Linked DNA regions of Arabidopsis thaliana. The protein of the gene in region 3 interacts with the protein of the main gene of each other region in a pairwise test. Each region holds a gene or a part of one and is shown on either strand. Other genes may lie near its edges.

What was found.
Region 1: the proteins of JAZ6 (region 3) and WSIP2 interact in a two-hybrid assay, tested with the Arabidopsis thaliana proteins (one study listed by BioGRID).
Region 2: the proteins of JAZ6 (region 3) and TPR3 interact in a two-hybrid assay, tested with the Arabidopsis thaliana proteins (one study listed by BioGRID).

Annotation. Positions count from the first base shown.
Region 1 is NC_003074.8:5,369,018-5,374,214, forward strand, and holds the start of WSIP2 (WUS-interacting protein 2), read right to left. Parts: upstream 3,273-5,197; 5' UTR 3,148-3,272; exon of another isoform or gene 2,916-3,147; 5' UTR 2,853-2,915; coding exon 2,773-2,852; intron 2,603-2,772; coding exon 2,423-2,602; intron 2,334-2,422; coding exon 2,220-2,333; intron 2,109-2,219; coding exon 1,950-2,108; intron 1,866-1,949; coding exon 1,688-1,865; intron 1,603-1,687; coding exon 1,482-1,602; intron 959-1,481; coding exon 837-958; intron 755-836; coding exon 586-754; intron 437-585; coding exon 327-436; intron 91-326; coding exon 21-90; intron 1-20. UniProt on the Arabidopsis thaliana protein: Transcription corepressor of Zinc finger transcription factors GAF1/IDD2 and ENY/IDD1 in regulation of gibberellin homeostasis and signaling.
Region 2 is NC_003076.8:9,509,136-9,517,172, forward strand, and holds the start of TPR3 (TOPLESS-related 3), read right to left. Parts: upstream 6,273-8,037; 5' UTR 6,129-6,272; coding exon 6,049-6,128; intron 5,963-6,048; coding exon 5,783-5,962; intron 5,702-5,782; coding exon 5,588-5,701; intron 5,367-5,587; coding exon 5,208-5,366; intron 5,106-5,207; coding exon 4,931-5,105; intron 4,844-4,930; coding exon 4,714-4,843; intron 4,617-4,713; coding exon 4,504-4,616; intron 4,418-4,503; coding exon 4,282-4,417; intron 4,178-4,281; coding exon 4,068-4,177; intron 3,911-4,067; coding exon 3,689-3,910; intron 3,612-3,688; coding exon 3,516-3,611; intron 3,444-3,515; coding exon 3,351-3,443; intron 3,187-3,350; coding exon 3,059-3,186; intron 2,872-3,058; coding exon 2,637-2,871; intron 2,552-2,636; coding exon 2,390-2,551; intron 2,293-2,389; coding exon 2,218-2,292; intron 2,013-2,217; coding exon 1,878-2,012; intron 1,786-1,877; coding exon 1,675-1,785; intron 1,558-1,674; coding exon 1,378-1,557; intron 1,255-1,377; and 8 more. UniProt on the Arabidopsis thaliana protein: Transcriptional corepressor. Negative regulator of jasmonate responses.
Region 3 is NC_003070.9:27,273,173-27,278,305, forward strand, and holds JAZ6 (jasmonate-zim-domain protein 6), read right to left. Parts: upstream 3,391-5,133; 5' UTR 2,965-3,390; coding exon 2,811-2,964; intron 2,496-2,810; coding exon 2,372-2,495; intron 2,220-2,371; coding exon 1,893-2,219; coding exon of another isoform or gene 1,889-1,892; exon of another isoform or gene 1,369-1,888; coding exon 1,164-1,368; 3' UTR 796-1,163; downstream 1-795. Other genes in the region: EDA25 (CCAAT-binding factor), read right to left, coding at 1-424. UniProt on the Arabidopsis thaliana protein: Repressor of jasmonate responses.

The DNA of each region.
Region 1 (5,197 bases), on a different chromosome or scaffold from region 3:
AAGATCATAGAATGGCTTACCCAGTAGACCTCCATCAGGACTCCAAACAACTCGGTTTACTGCTGCAGTATACTCGCTAGCAAGTGAAGCCTAATGAACAAGAATGAAATCAGACAACGGGTCAGCAAAAGATAAAGATGTCCTTGATATAGTACGTGGCAATATTGAAAGCTTTTATGAGTAATCTATCTCAGAAAACTAGCTATTAACCTTGATATGTTCCTCACTAAAAAGAGAAGAAAATCCTCTGTATAGTTTTAACTAACTAACAACAAATCTCCCACCTCATTCGACTGTTACAGTAGATCAATAAAGAGGAACTATACCTGAAGGTTCACAGTGCAAGTAGCAAGATCCCAAACTTTAAAGCTTCTAGAAACGAGCTTCTCCCTGCTACCCACCTCCCATATTGCAATATCACCAAGATTGGTGCCAACTAGGAAACAAATGTAAATCCAAGATAAAGTAAGCAGATTGTACTGAGAAGATGAAAGTTATGCTGTCTGATACAAGTTTTGCAGGTTTCTCTGGCATAAACCAGAATAAAACAGAAGAATGATGCGTGCTTCAGAGGAGAAAACCAACCAAGGAGCATAGTTTGCTGTACTGGATGAAAATCCATGCTCTTAATGGCAGAACCCTGACTCAAAATCCTGCTAACGTTTTTGGGCAAGTCATCAGTAGAATAAGTTGCATGAGCATGGCTTTGCCCTGGATATGTGACTGGCAAGACATTGACTGGAAGATTATTAACCTGTAAAATGTTCAAAGAAAGTTGTGACTTCTAAGAAAAGTTGAGAACTTAAGCTGAAAAACGAACAAGCAGCCGTTAATACCCCATCTGAAATACCAAAAGGTCTGGGTCTCTTCAACACACTTTCAGAATCTGCCGTCTGATAATCCATTGATAGGCTATTAGTTGGAGGACTCCTGGGACGCTCACGCTTTAACATAGACACTGCAAGGAAAAAAAGAAGAATAAATAGATTATGGTAAGCTATGCAATTGGTAAACACACACAAACTGATCTCCACGTTATGGACTACAAAAAATGAAATAAATAAAAGTTTCAGACCTAAGACAGCACTTCAAGGCTATCTGACATTAAATTAAATGTTTGCTTCTCTATCTATTATCTATAAACAAGAGTATTGTGAAATTAAACAAAACGGCTGATATGAGCATATAGTTCTCTCTCTCTCTCTAATCCACCATAGAGACAGTTTACCACTAAAAACTGCTTTAGTCCGTAAAAGAAAAGAGAGACAGTTTACCACTACAGCTCTGGAAAATGTAACTCAGTAAATATATTTATATCATTTCATGCAGTTCAGTCAGTCAAAGAAGCACAGATAACCATCCAACTAATGATGATCTAAACAAGGGATGGCAAATTACATAACCGTATAAGCTAATATTTGGTAAACTAAATCTCCAACACACATATTTCAGAAGAATAAAATTAGTAGGGACAACATTACCAGCACTGTTGGGGGCACCTAAGCCGATAGGCCCAGCGGAAACAGTAGGGTGTTGTACCGATGGATTAGGCATCCATCCTGCAAGAGATGTTGTAAGAGGAGCTGGTGTTGGCTGAAATGGCTGAACAAGAGCATACAAACTAGCAAAGTTAAATTCATGTGCTAAAAACTAATCCAACAGAAGCTGTAATCTTAGAGCAACTTACACCGTGAGCACCTAATGGTGGGAAGCCTCCAACTTTAGGGACTGAACCCATTAAATGATTAGTTGTAGGGGAAGGAGTGTGTGCACCATTGGGATGCCCACACGTATGGTCAACAAATAGTGTTTTTATATCCGGGTTAGGCCTAGGATTCTTGCAAAGCTGATGTTGCCAGTTCAAACTATGATTCAGCAGAAGCAACGTTCAGTTAGTTGTTCCACCAAAAGAAAAACGGGAGCAAAAGTTAAAAAAACAAAGCTTGTACCTTTGATTTATTAAGGTTCTCAATCTAGAATTCTTCAAACTGGGAAATTGAAGTTTGTCTCGGAAGAGAGGATTTGCTTCAATCAGTTTTTTAAGTTCCCCAAGCATGATACCTCTTGCGGACTTAGTATCTCCATACTTGGAAAGCTGCTCATTTTCCCTTGAATTATTGCAAGTAAATGAAACATCAACACCACAAGCGCATGGTTTATAACAATCCAGTGGTCAATGAAACCATAAAAAAAAAGTGCTAAGAAAGTAAAGAATGTACCTGAAGTTAGTCAAGGTTAAAAGCATGGTAATCTCCTTAAAAAGCTCTTCGTTGAATGTCGAGAACACTTTCAACTCCTTAACAAGAATATCAACCGCCTTGGCATGATCTTTCCTATGGTAAAACAAAAGATGGGAAAACAAATCAATACTCAAAACCACACTTCAATTCAATAAAACTAAACAACACAAGTGAAACTTTACTTGTCAAGTGCTTCAAGGTACTTCTGCTTCCGAATCTCGAAAAATATTTTCATAGAGTATCTATTATCATCAACTTTAGTGAATCCAGAAAGATACTTCTCTACATCATCCCATTCACCAGCTGTTACACTATCTTCAAAGTACCTCATGTTGAAGAAAAAACCAGACTCTTTCTCCAACCTAATTAGTCAAAAAAAATATCCAAAGTTGTAACTGCTTCTGGATTAACATTGAAGAAATAATGCTAAATTACAAAATCAAAATTAATTAATCTTAATCCCTACTTTACTCTAATCCCGACAATCAAAGGAAGAGGGACCGCAATTAAACAATGATATAATATAAATTACCTGTGAACAGTATCTTTGAATTTCTCTTCATCGAGAAACTGAAGTATTAAAAACACGAGTTCTCTGCTGAGTGACGACATATCCTCTTCTTATTGCTCGCTCTCCGAAAGTAACAGATCGATCACAATACCACTCATGAACCACTAATCAAACACAAAGACACAAAGAGAGAATTAGGGTTTTATAAAAGAAAACATCTTCTTCACACCCCAAAAAAGGAAAGACAGATCTAAAAAAAAAAACGAAATCGATCGAATTCGAAAGACGAATCCCCCCAAACCCAGGTGGCACGAGATGTGCACGTGCGAGAATATACGAGAGAGGCTCCCGAGAAAGAGATTAAAGAAAAAAAGGAAAGTTTATAAATATAAATACCTGTTGAATTTTGACTTTGAAGAAGGAGAGAGACAAAGCAGAGAGGAAGAAGAGGAAGAAGAAGAAGAAGAAGAAGAAGACTTTGGAGAAGAGAGAGAGAGAGACGTGGGGGCTATTTATGGCGATAATTTCTGATGCTGTCTCGTTTTCGGAGTTTCCTTTTTTTTTTTTTGGATTTATTGCTTTTTATTTTAATTTATGAGTTTTTATGATTTAATTAATTTGTTTTTGTGTGGTCGTTGGGCTTCTATTTTTTTTAATAGAAGCGTGTATTTTGTAGATAGGAATTTACTCAAAAAGCTTAATCTCCCCACTATAATAAGTAACCTTCGTTTTAATTACTTTTTCTAAAATTTATTTTAATTTAATGTTTTCGTATTTTATTTTAATTTAAGTGACGTATTGATGTTGTTGCGAATCTAGTACAACACTGCTGTCTAATTTAATGCTCTCTCGTTAGGTTTTGAACGTAGCTGGGGATTTTTTTTTGTTTTTCAAACTATACATTAAAGTAGAGTATCTCATAATTGGTTTATTTCTGTTTCTGTATAGAATTTAGTGCCATTATATTATTTTTATGACATCAACTAACCGTCAATTAATATTGCAAATATTTTTTTTATGAATTAATTATTTAAGTAATGGATTTTGAAGTTTTTAATTTAGAGAAGAATAGCAGTAAATCAGATGTGATATTTTTATTTCCAGTTATGTAGTACGCAAATTAATTAAATTTTATTTTCTTCATCTTTTATTGTCAAAAAAACAAATTAAAGGTTTTATGGATAATTTACTTTTGGAAAAATATAAATCTTATGTGGTAACAAATAAGTGAATTTTACAAATGTGTATTCTTTCTTTTTTGTTATAGTAATTCACAGTAAAAAGTGGAGTTTTATTCTATAATACGGTTTGTAACGCATTTCCGTGAATATATTATGCTAATTTGTTAGGAATTTAAGAGATATGGCCTATTCACATGTTTAGTTTTGTTCTATTTATAAAAAAAAAAAAAATCAAAATTTATATTTGTACTTTATTTTTTTTCCCATGGATGTTTTGGCTAGTAATTACTATGCTACTTCAACAGTCCATCCACATTATGGTTCTAGTAGGAGTCATATCAAATCTTCTTACAAGTATTCCTACACCAGTATTGCTTACATTGGTTTGGGCTTTTAGGTCTAGATTATCGGGGGAATTGACTGGCCCAATTGCTAAACATGATTGGGAATCAATTTCGTCCCAAACATGTTTTCCTTGAACAATCACTTTGATGACAATGACACACCCAGACAGTTATCAATGACTGCAATTAATCAGCAAATGGTTCCATAAGCCCATCTGCCCATGTTGGTGAAGAAGCATCACCTCAAATATATAATTTTAAGATGAGAGAGCAAACATTCCTTTCTGATCGCTCTGAATATTTTAGCAATTTACTAAACGTAAAGTTATTTTCATAGCTTTAATTCAAAATTTCTGTAACTAGAGCTAGCAAAGAAACAAAGACTTGTGTTTAATATTATATTTTTGAAGAAGATAGTAGAATCTTCTGTCTATTTGTTTAATATTTGAAACATCGAATAAATGGTTTCAATGAGTTGTCCTGACTCATCAGCCGACCCTTAACAATGACTACAACAACTTCAAATTTTAAAACATCAAGTATCTTCAACAACATACCCTTTCCGTTTTATATTAAATAATTGGTAAAATCCAGCTTATTTATAATTATGTTATTTCTGTATAATACATTACAGAAGAGTAAAACAAAAACTTTAAAACGACACATATAATAAAAAGGAAAAATAAATAAATAGATATGAGAAAAAAATACAGTTGGAACTTAATATATACACTTTTATACAACGGATACTAACGTTCAAAAATTTTATTCTTCTTTTGGTTAAAGTTTTATTTATTGTTTATGACTTTTCCATATCAGCTTCTTTTTTAATACTATATATATATTTTTAAAATTTGTTTATTTTATGCGAGCAAAAAAAAAAAAAAGTGTGCAAAAATAATAAAAAAGAACAAAATAAAT
Region 2 (8,037 bases), on a different chromosome or scaffold from region 3:
AGAAGAGTTTATAACTATTTTGGCTTATGAAAATATACCAATTTCTCATGTTTCAGAAGTCAATTTAAGTCTATTATACAGATTCATGTACCAAACCTTACAAAGTACAGTGATTTAGAAATAAGAATCTGATGAAATGTTGGATAAACTTACCCTTGAGGCAAGTAGGCGGATGGAGAGATACGACATCTTAATCTGAGACTGTCCGCGTCAAATACTCCAATGTTACCATCGCGGAAAGTGGTGTAGATCAGCTGGCTGTTGCATGCGTACACCGCTGAAGATATAGGAGCAGACAGCGAGTCTTGTGGAATCCACTGAGACATGAAAACAAGAGAACATAAGTCATTACAAATTTCAAAATAATGATTAAGAATATGTATATATGACCTTGCATTTCATATATACATGCCAGGTCAGAGATGATCCATTTTATATAAGTGGATTTACAGAGATGATCTCATCATAGTCATAGATACCTGTCGGATACATTCCATCTTGGAAGCATCAAATACCGCCAGTTGTGTCTCGTGGACTACCAGAATACGCAACTGATCCACATGAAACTGAACCCGCGTGTCTCCATTGGCGGCTTTTCCTGCTGGCATTTGTATTGCAACGGATTTCCTCTTCTCCCATGTGTCAATGCTCCAAAAGCAGATCTAAGAGAAGACAACAGGAAGAATAAGTATCCTCCTAGATTAGATAAGTCTAATGGTAGAAAATCCAGCAAGGAAACAACACAAAATAATCAAGCATTTTTCCCTTCAGTTGAGATATATTTACTACAGGACAACAACAACAACAACAAGACGCAGCATAACACACCTGTGCATCAGCACCAGATGAAACCAAGATGTTGAGGGCTGTAGAAAATGCTAGGCCTGTGATGCGTTTCTGGTGACCCTTTAGCTTTGATTTGACCTGATGGAACACAATATGCAAGTTTCAGATCGTTGATAGAGTTTTAAGGCAACATTAGCAGTGAGGGGAAAATTAAACTGTAAAACATATGTGAAGCTATGAGAACCATTTCTTCAAAAAACGTAAGGTTCACAAGTTTTTCCTTGTCATAGATCAAAAAGACTACATAAGTGGCAATGGTTAGTACTAGAAACTACTTACCTCATCCACTCGGACATTATAGATGTGAATCGTAGAGTCTTCCATTCCAATGGCGATGACGTTATTGTCCTGAGGATGGAACGCCAAAAACGTTGATGCTGGTGGAGGCGGCATGAATGTTGTCATCACCTATAAGGCCAATAGTTTTTTTGTGGAAATTAGAACAACCAAAAGAGTTTACTAGATTAGTGTGAGAACATTTTCAGTTAGAAATCTTGTGGCTTTTTTTAAGTTCATATAGATAATATATACCTTAAAAGTCATCATGTTGAACAACGAGACTTTTCCTCCAGCAGCAGACATGACATATGAGTCGTTCTTAGAGAGAGCGATGCATGGGGCAGCGTTTTCAAGGTTTACACCAGACACATCATTGGTCATAAGAAGACCACTGTTTGGTTGCCAATGCTGAGGAACAACAGTAGCAGTTGCCTGCATAATAAACAGTACTTAAATAAAACCGCACACAGCATGCATTAAGCTATCTCTAACTCTTTAAAACCGCAGACAGCATGCATTAAGCTCTCTCAAACTCTTTTTTACGATTACCTTTCCACTAGGGTTCTGCTCATTGGGAACCCACTTCCAGAGTCTCTGGATACCATTGGAACCTAGTGCCAAGATTCCAGCACCGGAATTCGTATACAGAAGCTGAACAACCTGCTTTCCCACGCAGCATGAGAAAATTAAGCCTCAATTTCAAAACATTTATAGAAATCCAACAACTTTCTGAGAAAGATAACTGCACAAACCTTTGTGGAAGAACCAGCGGTATCGGGTAAAGTAGCTTGGAAACACTGGGAAGGGTCCAAGATTTCAGCTAATTGCCAAGATTTTGGTTTGTCTGTTGAGTCATCGATTCTCGACTTTGAGGGATCAACTCCATTCTTGAGGATATTCAGAAAAAAAAGATTAGTAAATATTTTTTTTAAACATGACAAAAAAATCGGAAACAGTCAACTACTATAGTCAGAGAATAGTAAACTACAATTTCGACAAATGGAAGTTCACTTCATTTACAACCGAAAATCCAGAACAGAATAATAAATTATAGAAATGGCTAGAAACATAGCATTTAATGAGTGATTTTACCAGCATTTGTGAGTGTCTAACAGGAGAGCCTCGTTCAACTTTACAATTGACAGACGCAACAGGAGCACCAGGAACCTAACAGAATATACCAAAGTGTGTAAACCGAGACAGCTTGTAATGACAGTGGATGTAAAAAAGGGAAAAAATGTAATACAAAGTTGAGAAACATTACAGCTTTGAAATCAACTGGAGTCCTCATCGTTTCAGAAGCTGGAGTTTCCATCGCTCGAAGAGATCGGAAACCAGCTGGATTAGCTAGGATCTTAAATCCGTTATCTGCCGTAGTAACGGCTAGAAGATTGCCGTCCTTGTTAAATCTCAAATGGGGAAGAGCCTGAAGTTGGGACAAGTTATATGCAAACCTAAAAAGACGAACATCCAAGCAACAAGCCATGGGAAAAAGAATCTTTGGGACTTACCGGAAGTCCACCCTCAGCATCAGTGCTAGTCAGAACATTGATGTTGTTCATATCCCAAAATTTGATTTGTCCATCTTCACCAACAGCCAGAAAATGGTTTTTTGAGGTATCGAACTGAACCACACCTGCCAACTTTTTCTGAAACTCTTTATACGTCCTTTTAATTGATCCTTCACTTTCATTCCACTCAACTAGGAAAGAATCTCCATCTTTACTCGTTCCACAAGAGAACAATCTGAAGGGGGAAAAAACATCAGAAAGCACTGAAAAGGTAAACTTAAAACAGAAAGATAAGATTAGAAACTCAAGGACACAACTCAGTATCCTCCGGAGTAAACAAAAGAATCTGAAGATTTTGGAAACTGAGGAGTGAAGAACAAGCGGTATAGAAGAGGGAAATGTTTATGAGTTTAAGATCTTACCTAGTACCATCAGCACTGTAAAGCATCCTCGTACACCATTTACCGGGAGCATCATAGTCAACTCTGGAACCCAGATTATCATAAAGCCAGGCTTTTATTTTCCCATCTATGGCGGTTGAAAATATGAACTGAAATCCAAATAAGAACGAGATGTATTTTGGTAAAGAACAGAAATTCATAGGCAAGATAATACTATATGAAATGTGTCGTCTACTTTATTGTTCTTCAAACGGATTGGTAAAACAGTATAATAATTGATGTAAAATATAGTTTGATTCAATCCTTGCCGCACCTGAATGTTCTCTTTGTAATGAGGGCAAATGGAATAAACTGGAGCGTCGTGGCCTTCAAAAGTAAAATGCTTCCGACCAGAAACATCCCATACCTGTTCCACATTGATCAAGTTAGCCAGCTGCATTGATATCTAACAGTGAAACTTTGTGACTCTTTATCTCACCTTGATTAATTTATCATCTCCGCAAGTAATTACACATAGTTGTCTGTTTGGATTGGCGAAAGCCAAGTCGTTCACAGCACCGACATGGGCATCAATCTGTGAAAAAGTGATCTAGTCTCAGTGGGATATTATTACATCGCAATATTTCTCGTACAGATCACAAGTATGCTTACCTCAGTATGTTGGCGAAGATCATTAGGTCCAGAGAAAGCGTACAACTGAATTAGATGTTTTGTAAACGCAACCCCTGCACAATAAGAGACTGAGACCAGAGACCATAGACAACATACAATTAAAATCCAACAATGCATGACGGGAAGCTTACCAATGAAATTTCCATCCGGACTCCATGCAACGCGAGTGACAGATATCGGTGTTTCTTTAGCTATCAAAGCCTGAATGATGCCAAAAGAAAGGCAAGTATAAGAATCTTGCACAGCAACTAGTTTGCTGATACGTTTTATCTCCAACACTTCTCATAGCCATTTGGTTGAATTCCGCCTTTATACATCAAACACATAAACTAAAAACTTCTTAGCTGTAAAGACAAACCTGAAACTGATGTGAGCAATTAGACATATCCCATATCTTGAATGGCCTTGAAACCAGCCTCTCTCGAGCGGCAAGTTCCCACAATGTGATTTCTCCCGTCGCAGATCCAACTGATGGCATTCAAACGGTCATTCAGAAAGCCAAATAAGAGATAACAGAAATATAACTTCAAACACAGTTTAGAATTTGTATTCTTTTTTTCAAACCCCCATACCAAGAAGTAACGTGTTTTGCATAGGGTAGAACTCCATGCTTGTCACAGTGGACCCTTGATGCAGCGCCAGAGCTGCCTTTGTTGGCAAATCTTCCAGCGACCATGGAGCTTGCTGCCTAGGAGCAGGATATGTCACCTGGAAAATGATAAATGCTTAGAATTTTGAGAAGATGCAAGAATTATATAAACAGCTTTCCAGAAAAAGAAAAGAATTCGCGTTACCTCCTCCACAGATGGAGCAGGGCGGAGACGCTTCATTAGTTCATGATCAGGATTCTGATAATCTACTATACCTGGAGTTGCTGGTGGTGTTCTTGGTCGCTTCAAGATTGACACTTTTTGGAAGAAAAATAATAAGTTTTTGATGGAAACTGAAATGATAGTTATTGATAAGTCGAGGATTAGAAATCTAGAGGATCGTCAAAAACTAACTTTGATTCTGAGGTTGAGGCATCAAGGCAGGTGTAACAACGGCAGCTTGGACAGCAGAAGCACCAGAGGCAGCAGCCATCCAACTAGCTAAAGCACCAGCATTAGCAGCAGCAGGACCAGGTGGAAAGGGCTACATGTAATACAGATTCCACAAACATTAAGATTAATTTAGATTCAAAAAACATGATTAAAGCAGTCAAACATCGAGGTTTCTTACAACATGAGGTCCAAGTGACGGATAAGCTGCTGGCTTCGTCAAAGTAGTAACAGGCTGATTGACTGCTGAAGGTGCGAGAGGACCATTCGGAAGTGTGCAAGTGTGGTCTGTGAATAGAGTTTTAATATCTGGGTTTGGCCTAGGATTCTTGCACAACTGGTGCTGCCAATTGAGGCTGCAAGAGAACATATGCACAATGAATCATCCAACAACGAAGTCATCCAAACCTCATCTGCAACATACAGAATGGTCATGAGGAAAGAAAAAAGAAACACACCTTTGATTAATCAGAGTCCGCAGTCTCGAAGATCTCAAAGTAGGGAACATCAATTTATCACGAAAAAGTGGATTCGCTTCAATTAGTTTTTTAAGTTCGCCTAGCATTATGCCCCGAGCAGTTTTAGTGTCTCCATATTTTGAAAGCTGCTCATTTTCCCTGCAGATTCATGAAAATCATTGATGTCAAATTTCAATCCACAAAACGCAAACAATCGAGAGAGAAACTCGAGTATCACACCCTCTTTCACATCCAAACAAAAACAGTCTACAAAGCATCACGAACTCGACTTGGACTGAACCTAAACCAAGTCTCATATTCCTACTTTCCATAACAACAGAAACATCAACAAGGAGAGATCAAAATTCAATATATCATACCTAAAGTTTTGCAAAGTTAAGAGTTGAGTGATTTCTTTGTAAAGCTCCTCATTGAAAGTGGAGAAAACTCTCAAATCTTGCACTAGTATCTCAACTGCTTTTGCCTTCTCTTGCCTGTAACAACAGAGAACATCAAACTCTAAAACCACAAATCTTCAAGAGTAAAAAAACAAATAAGACAGCTTATAATCATACCGATCAAGAGCCTCGAGATACTTCTGCTTCCTAATTTCAAAGAAAATCTTCATAGAGTATCTGTTATCATCAACCTTAGTAAAACCTGACAAATACGTCTCAACATCATCCCATTCTCCAGCTAGAACTTTCTCATCAAAATACTTGGTATTGAAGAAGAATCCTGACTCTTTCTCAAGCCTATATTTAACAAATTACAAATCAGTCAATCCCAAAATTCAGCCTCTCACAACACAACACAAAACAAACCATATAAATAGACTAACCTGTGCACAGATTCCTTAAATTTCTCTTCCTCCAGAAATTGAAGTATCAGAAACACCAACTCTCGACTCAACGACGACATTCTCAACGAATCTCAAATCTGACGAGAAACGAAGAAGAGAGACGACGAAAGAAACACGAATCCGAGCTCTGAAGACACGAGCCCAGGTAAAGACTCTGATTTCGAGGATTTCTAGGGTTTTGAAGAGCTCTAGCTTTTAGAGAAAAATGGAGAGAGAGAGAGAGAATATATAAAGAAGGAGGAGAAGATTGGGGGATTGAGAAACTTTAGACCTCGCTTTCTTGGACGCGTTCTTCTTTGCACAGAGACATCGTTCTACCGACTTATCAGATATAAGCGGAGTCTTCGTCGGTGATAAGTAGGCTTCCTTATAAGAGAGGTAGGTTAAGTTATTATCAAATTGAGTGATAAGTTGATTTGGAGATAGAGTGGCGGATTCGAAAACAAAATTCAAATAGTGTGAATATTCTGTGCACACGTCCAGTCTGGTCCCCACATTTTTCTCTCTCCTTTATTATGTCGCTCTCAGCTTTCGATGCACTCTTCGTTTGGCTTTTCTCATATTATCCTTTTTTTCTTTTTCTCGCGATATTTTTGAGATCTCTTTTTCGCAAGATTTAATTAAGTGTTCGTGACAATTACAATGTGGACAATTCAACATCTCGCAGGTTACGTCATATATAATTATATATACTCATATTATAATCTTTGCTTTTTTTTTTAGGCATACACCAGGAGAATTACTCGTGTTCTCCATGGCGAAATGAGATTATTTATAAAAGAAAAACATAATATGGATTTAGAAAATAGATATTTGAAAAGAAAAATAATAAAAAAAGGAAAATAATATTTTTAATATTTCTTTTTATTTGATTTTTTAGGAAAAACATAAATATTAAAAAAAGACATATTAAATCTTGTTTTTTAAATGTACTATTTTTTATAATTTAAAATTTTTAATAACTTTAAACCAATAATATTCAATAATTTTTATTGAAGTTTACAATTTATCAATTATAACTAATAAGTATTGTATTGAAAACCTATAAAATTAATCTTTTTGAAACATTTTTTTTCTAGAAAATCAAATAAAAGAAACATATGGAGTATGAAAATAACTTATTAAGTATATATAAAATAAAATTTTATAGAGGCCGAATACATTAACTTTATTAGAATTAAGATTTACAAGTATTTAAGAGATAGAAAAAAATGATTAGGATATAACAATATGGTTTACATGTATATTCTTTATACGTCCTTTTAGTATGGAAGTACTCGTGTAGCTCTAATTTTGGAACTTTTTTTTTGAAATATTGATTTCGCTAAAGATTTAGTGAATGTATTTGCTAACTGATCACCAATGGAGACATGAGTAATCTGAAGCATTCCAGCTTGAATTAAGTGCTATATATATGGTTCATTCGAGAATAGAAAACCGGATTGGTACCGAGGTAAGTGGCACCAACATTTTCACAATATATCATATATATTCTTTATACCATTTAGAATTGTAAGCTTTGGTACCATATAGAGGCTAAATGTATTGACTTTATTTTAGAATGAGATTTACAGGTATTTATAGAGAGATAGAAAAGTGATTAGGGTATACTAATGAGAACAATACAATTTACAAATATATCTTATAAATTTAAGGATAAATGTCAATTTTCATTTTTTAAAAACACGATAGATACAAATCGAGGTTAATTCTTCAAAACCTAACTTAAGTAAAATAAGAAATTTGATACTATGTTTCCTAACTTAAGTAAAATTTACTTATTAACATAAATGTAGAAAATATTTTTAAATTTGTTTTTTTCTTGATAATTTAAGGATAAACTAGGTAAGAATGCGTGCCATATATGGATAAATTATATGATATTACATTTTATAAATTCTGTACTATTTAATTTTATAAATAGTTTTATTAATAATATTTCCAAATGACTCTATTTTTAATATGAAG
Region 3 (5,133 bases):
AGCTCAATAAACTCGCTTTCACCAATGGTAACTTAGGCAAACTCTTGAATTCATCGAAACGTTTTTTCTTGTACCCAGTACTCTCATCATCAATCGATAAGAATCCAGGCTTTGGCTTCGGTTGTAACGTTTGCTTCACCGGTGCATCTTTGTTTTGCTTCCTCGCTCCAAAATCTTTTCCCTTTTCATTCCCAATGTTCGATTTTGGCTCTCCTTCTTCATCTTCATCCTTGTGTTGCTGATCCTTCTTAGGCTTTTTCCGTTTCTGGGTTTTGGATTTAGCTGGTTTTCGGAAATCAGTGTCGTTGAAACCCGAAGAAGGAAGAGCAGAAGCTAAGCCAATAGAAGAAGCGAATGATGCGATATCAGATGTGAGAAGACTCAAGTCCTGCGATGATTTACTCAAAGGCTTTATCTTTGACATTTTTTCTCAAAGCATATGAAGAGGGTTAAGAGAGTTTTGTGAGAGATGACTGTTTTTAAAAGAACTGAGACAGTTAGGTTTAAGCAATCTCTGTGCTTTGAGATCGAACAATGAAAAAGAAAGATAAACTTCAATGTTTGGGGTTCAACAGAAATTTTTAGGGTTTTAGAAAACGGCAAGAGAGAAGCAGACAGAGGAAATGGTAGAAGGCTAATTTCGTAATTACGGGATAAGACAAGGGCAAAACAGACTTAACGACCTAAAATCAATGAGACGATGTTTTTTCATTAAGGTTGGGTTCCTGAGACGGTCCAGCCCAATCGCTAGAACATTCAATGCAAATCCATAACTGGTGAGATTTCGATCATGTGGTAAAATATTATACTAATATCTTTGATAGAAACATTATATGTATATCTTTGAAACCTATTATAGGTTAATATACTTTTGCCACTTAGAAAAATTACTAACAACGCAAATCCATCACTGGTGAGATTATATCAGGTGATTAAAAAATTTCGATAAAGGGTAATCCAGATGACAATTTTAATTAAAGAATCTAAAAAACAAGTATCAAAATATGTATGTTTTGAAATATAAATACTAGCTACGTAATACAGTACTATAAATAACTTAAATTGGTCAAAAGTAATGGAAGAAAATATAAAAGGGTATTTGGGTTCAAATCCTAAATAAGTGAAAACTAGAAACGTGAACTCGATCGTGCATTTTATACGCCCTAAAGCTTGAGTTCAAGGTTTTTGGAAGATTGTCCTTCTTTCTTGTCCACCTCCATCGGCATATGGTTATGGGCCTTTGGTTTTGGAGGAGTTGCAATGTGTTGCGACGATTGGCCTGACTTTATCGATGGAGCAACCATCTCTGGCTTGGGAGGAAGATGACTACCGTGTTGGTTCACTTGATATGGAGCTCTAGCCACAGCCCTGAAATCAAAACAATTAATCAACATTTAAGACAAAGTAGATATTGAAGTTTTGATTTACAAAGAACTCTTAGTTAGTGTTTTTTAACTAGAAATTTCTCGACATTTTACTAATAATTTTCCTAGATCAAGGACACATAGATGATGGACTCATATCTCTTATATACTACTCTAGGTCCCATCTCGAATTTCATTGTAACTTGTAAGATTTTTTACATGTTCTTTATAAATGATGACACTTGAGTCACATCTCGAAATCTTACTCTAGGAATCATAATTCATAAACATACTAGGACCACCCTATGTTCAATTTCATGAATGTTCAACTTAAACTTGATTGGTAATACGCTTCTAATCCGATGTGGGATTCCTAGAATAACTCGAATAAGTCTTAATATGGTAATTATTAGCTATTTTTACATATAACTTTTTTAAGAAACTTTGATCCTAATCTATGCATACATTTTGACGAGCGGCCTAGAAAAAGCATAACCAAGCACAAAACAGTTTCGGAGTTTAGTTTACCTGTCTTTTCGTTTAGCAAAGAATCGATGAAGAGAAGCTCTTCTTGCAATGCGTTCCACAACCTGATGTTGCTGCCCAGTTTCTTGATCTTCATTGTTCCCGGAACTCGTTGGCTCGTTAAGATCGGGAATCACCACGTTGCTTTTGTCAAGATTCATGTGACTCTGACTGTTCTTAGAATCAACAGCAACATGATTCGCTTCTTTAGCTACTTCCATTATCTCCTTAGCTTTGTCTTCAGGAAACTCGTTGAAAACCATAACTTTTCCTCCAAAGAATATGGTCAACTGTGAATTTCCAGACTCCGGTGCTACTTTTGCCGGTTCACTAAAATCAAATCAAACCCATTTTTACAATTAGTCAAACTCCATAGTCCATACATCTATAACCGGTAGTTCTTTCTCTAATTCAATTGCTACAAAATGTGAAAACAAACACTTTAGGAGTTCGAATACATATGAAGTTTGTGTGTACAGTACCTGAGATCAATATATATGGCTTTGTCTTCGGTAGAAGTAGAGGCCTCACCAATAGAAAACTTCTGAATCAACTTGAACGGTCTAGTTTCTGAGGTCTCTACCTTCTTAATCACATTTTGTTGTCCTAAAACAAATTAGAACAGAAATTGCAAACCGATTAAAATTTATCAAAATCAAATTACATGTTTATTACGTTTTTTAAAAAACTTCACAGAATCTCTAACTTTAATATACTTAAGCTGTCCAAAATAATACCATGCTTAAGTTTAAAGAAAAGAAAAGAAAAAAATGATTTAAAATTTTGCATTTCAACAAAAAAAATATATAGTTAAACTTTATGCTAATAATCAACGAAGCAGGATACTAAAAGTATATGATATAAACTTTGGTCTTTATAGGCGGCGGCCGTCGGAATAGATAGGGAAAAATAAATAAATACCTTTGAGATCGAATTTTCCGGCGAGTTCAAGATCGGATTTTCGAGCCAACCCCATATTAATATTCCCAAAACTTCCCTTCTCCTTCAAGTACCGGCTGAGCAGACTACATCTCTGAGAAAAATTGGACTTCTCCGGCGCTTGTCCCGTTGACATACTAGTGTGATGAAGATTACAACAACCCAAGATTTTCTTGTGTGACTTCTTTACACGTACAAAAAATCGAGGATTCCAAAGAGTATGTAGATGTTTTGAGCTTTTTGCTCATGTGTTGTTGTTATAAATAACCAATTCTAGCCAATAAGTTTCTGTGGCTTTTAACCTCTCCCGAATAAATAAAGAAAACGAAATAACGTGTTCTTTTTTTTTATTTAGTCTGAAGTGACAGTGATGTGTGTCCAATATAGAATGTTTTTGTCACGAGTTTTGTAACTTTTTTTTTTACACCTAACTGATCGATAGACATTTTTTTTTTTTTTTTGAACACAAAACTGATCAATAGACTAAACACACATTTTTCTTATGATGGTTCAAGAAGAAGAAATTCTTTTTATGGTCAAACATATTATAGGCTATTAATTTCCTATATCCTCAAATGTTTTGTCACGAATAGAAATAGGGAAATAAATTATATGCGGAAAAAATGATTTATTCCTATGGTTGATTACAAAAATCAAACTACAATGTTCGTTACAAGTTCCGGCACGTTTTCATTGCACAAGCCGTGAAGAAACTGTTGTAAGTTGACGGCGACATTACATAAAGGCGTTAACCCATTTAATTCATTCGGGTCCCAAGAGTTTCTGTTAAATACTAATTTACCCTTCTGAGGTAATTCGTTTAGTGGTGGTTAGGATATTCGTTATTAAAGGGCGTAAATGAGGGCATTTGCAAACGCTATAGTCTAACGGAGTTCTGACGGAGTTAAGTCTCGCGTCGGCTGCGATGGCTAATACGAATTTAATATGTGGGATCCATTAGCAACAGTACGACTTGTGAGTGGATATTTATCGATGAATGGTGTCAATTACTTATCCCCGACAAAGTTTAAGGACACGTGAAGTATTGTTATGTGCGTTTAGGATGTCAACACGTGTCGGAATCTTGGCGGTACCAACCTTATTTCATGCATGATTTGCGTTTTTTTTCCCTCTTTGCTAAAGGATATTATAGCGTTCATACTTCATAGGCCTAATTTTCTTTTCTGTTTTTAATTACAAAAACTGAGTGTAATTAATATTAGAATTTGTGGTTTTGTATGTTGGTAAAAGGTTAACGATTTCTGTTTAGTCCTAATATGAATTTTGTTACTTGCTCAGTTAAATATTATTTCTATAACAATAATAATAATAAAATCTTTTAATCGTTTTGTTCAATGAAGTCGAGCGTTGAATTTTATTTGAATAAGAGGCAATGCCAAAGAGTACCAAAAAAGAATTTAAAACAAAATGTCGTAGACGATCGCGCCAAGGGAAAAAATCATTTTTATTGAATTATTTATCGCAACTTGCAAAATGAGAACATAATACTTTGAACTTTGAAGACTCTTCAATATCATATGATTTCAAGAGTTGAACAACAACTTGAGTCTAATATATACACATGTATGTGTGTATTTAATTACACAATATAGATCCATTGTCATTTTCTAATACATACAAAAGACCAAATAATATTCGCTATTTCACATGAAGATTATCTACATTGTTGGAAGCGCAAGTTGGGTTTCGATCACATATTTGATCATGTCCAAAATAAGGGAATGTCATATTCTAACAGATTTGATATGCAAAAATCAAGATTGTGAGAAGATTCTACTAAGACTACCAAACCAACGTTAACGGCAAAAAAGAAAAGGCAACGGCGAAACCTTCCGGTCACCACTCGAAGTTGGACTCTCCTTTAAGCAATAGAGTATATCAACATTTATCAAATAAATAGTTGTTGTTTTGAGACCTAAGTTCATATATGGACATAATCAAGATGGTGTCAACAGTTTTGGGTTAGGTGTGCTTCAGACTTAATCTTTGAGCTGGGTAAGATTTCCTTTCTATCTAGTGTTACGAGCTAGCGTGTCTCTGTAACAGGTTGTCTTCGGGTAAGTTTGGTCTTGCAGCTTGAGCTTGTGGTGGGAATTCTCTGTACAGTCGTTATCTTCATAAATAAAATGGTACTTATCAGAAAATAAAATAAAATTAGAAGACAATATTGAAAGATTATACAACTCATTTGCATTGACGTATGACAATACTAAACATAAAATTTGTTTAAAATTTAGGGGTAACGACTACGAATGTAGGTCCGTTTTACAACAATGACTAAAAC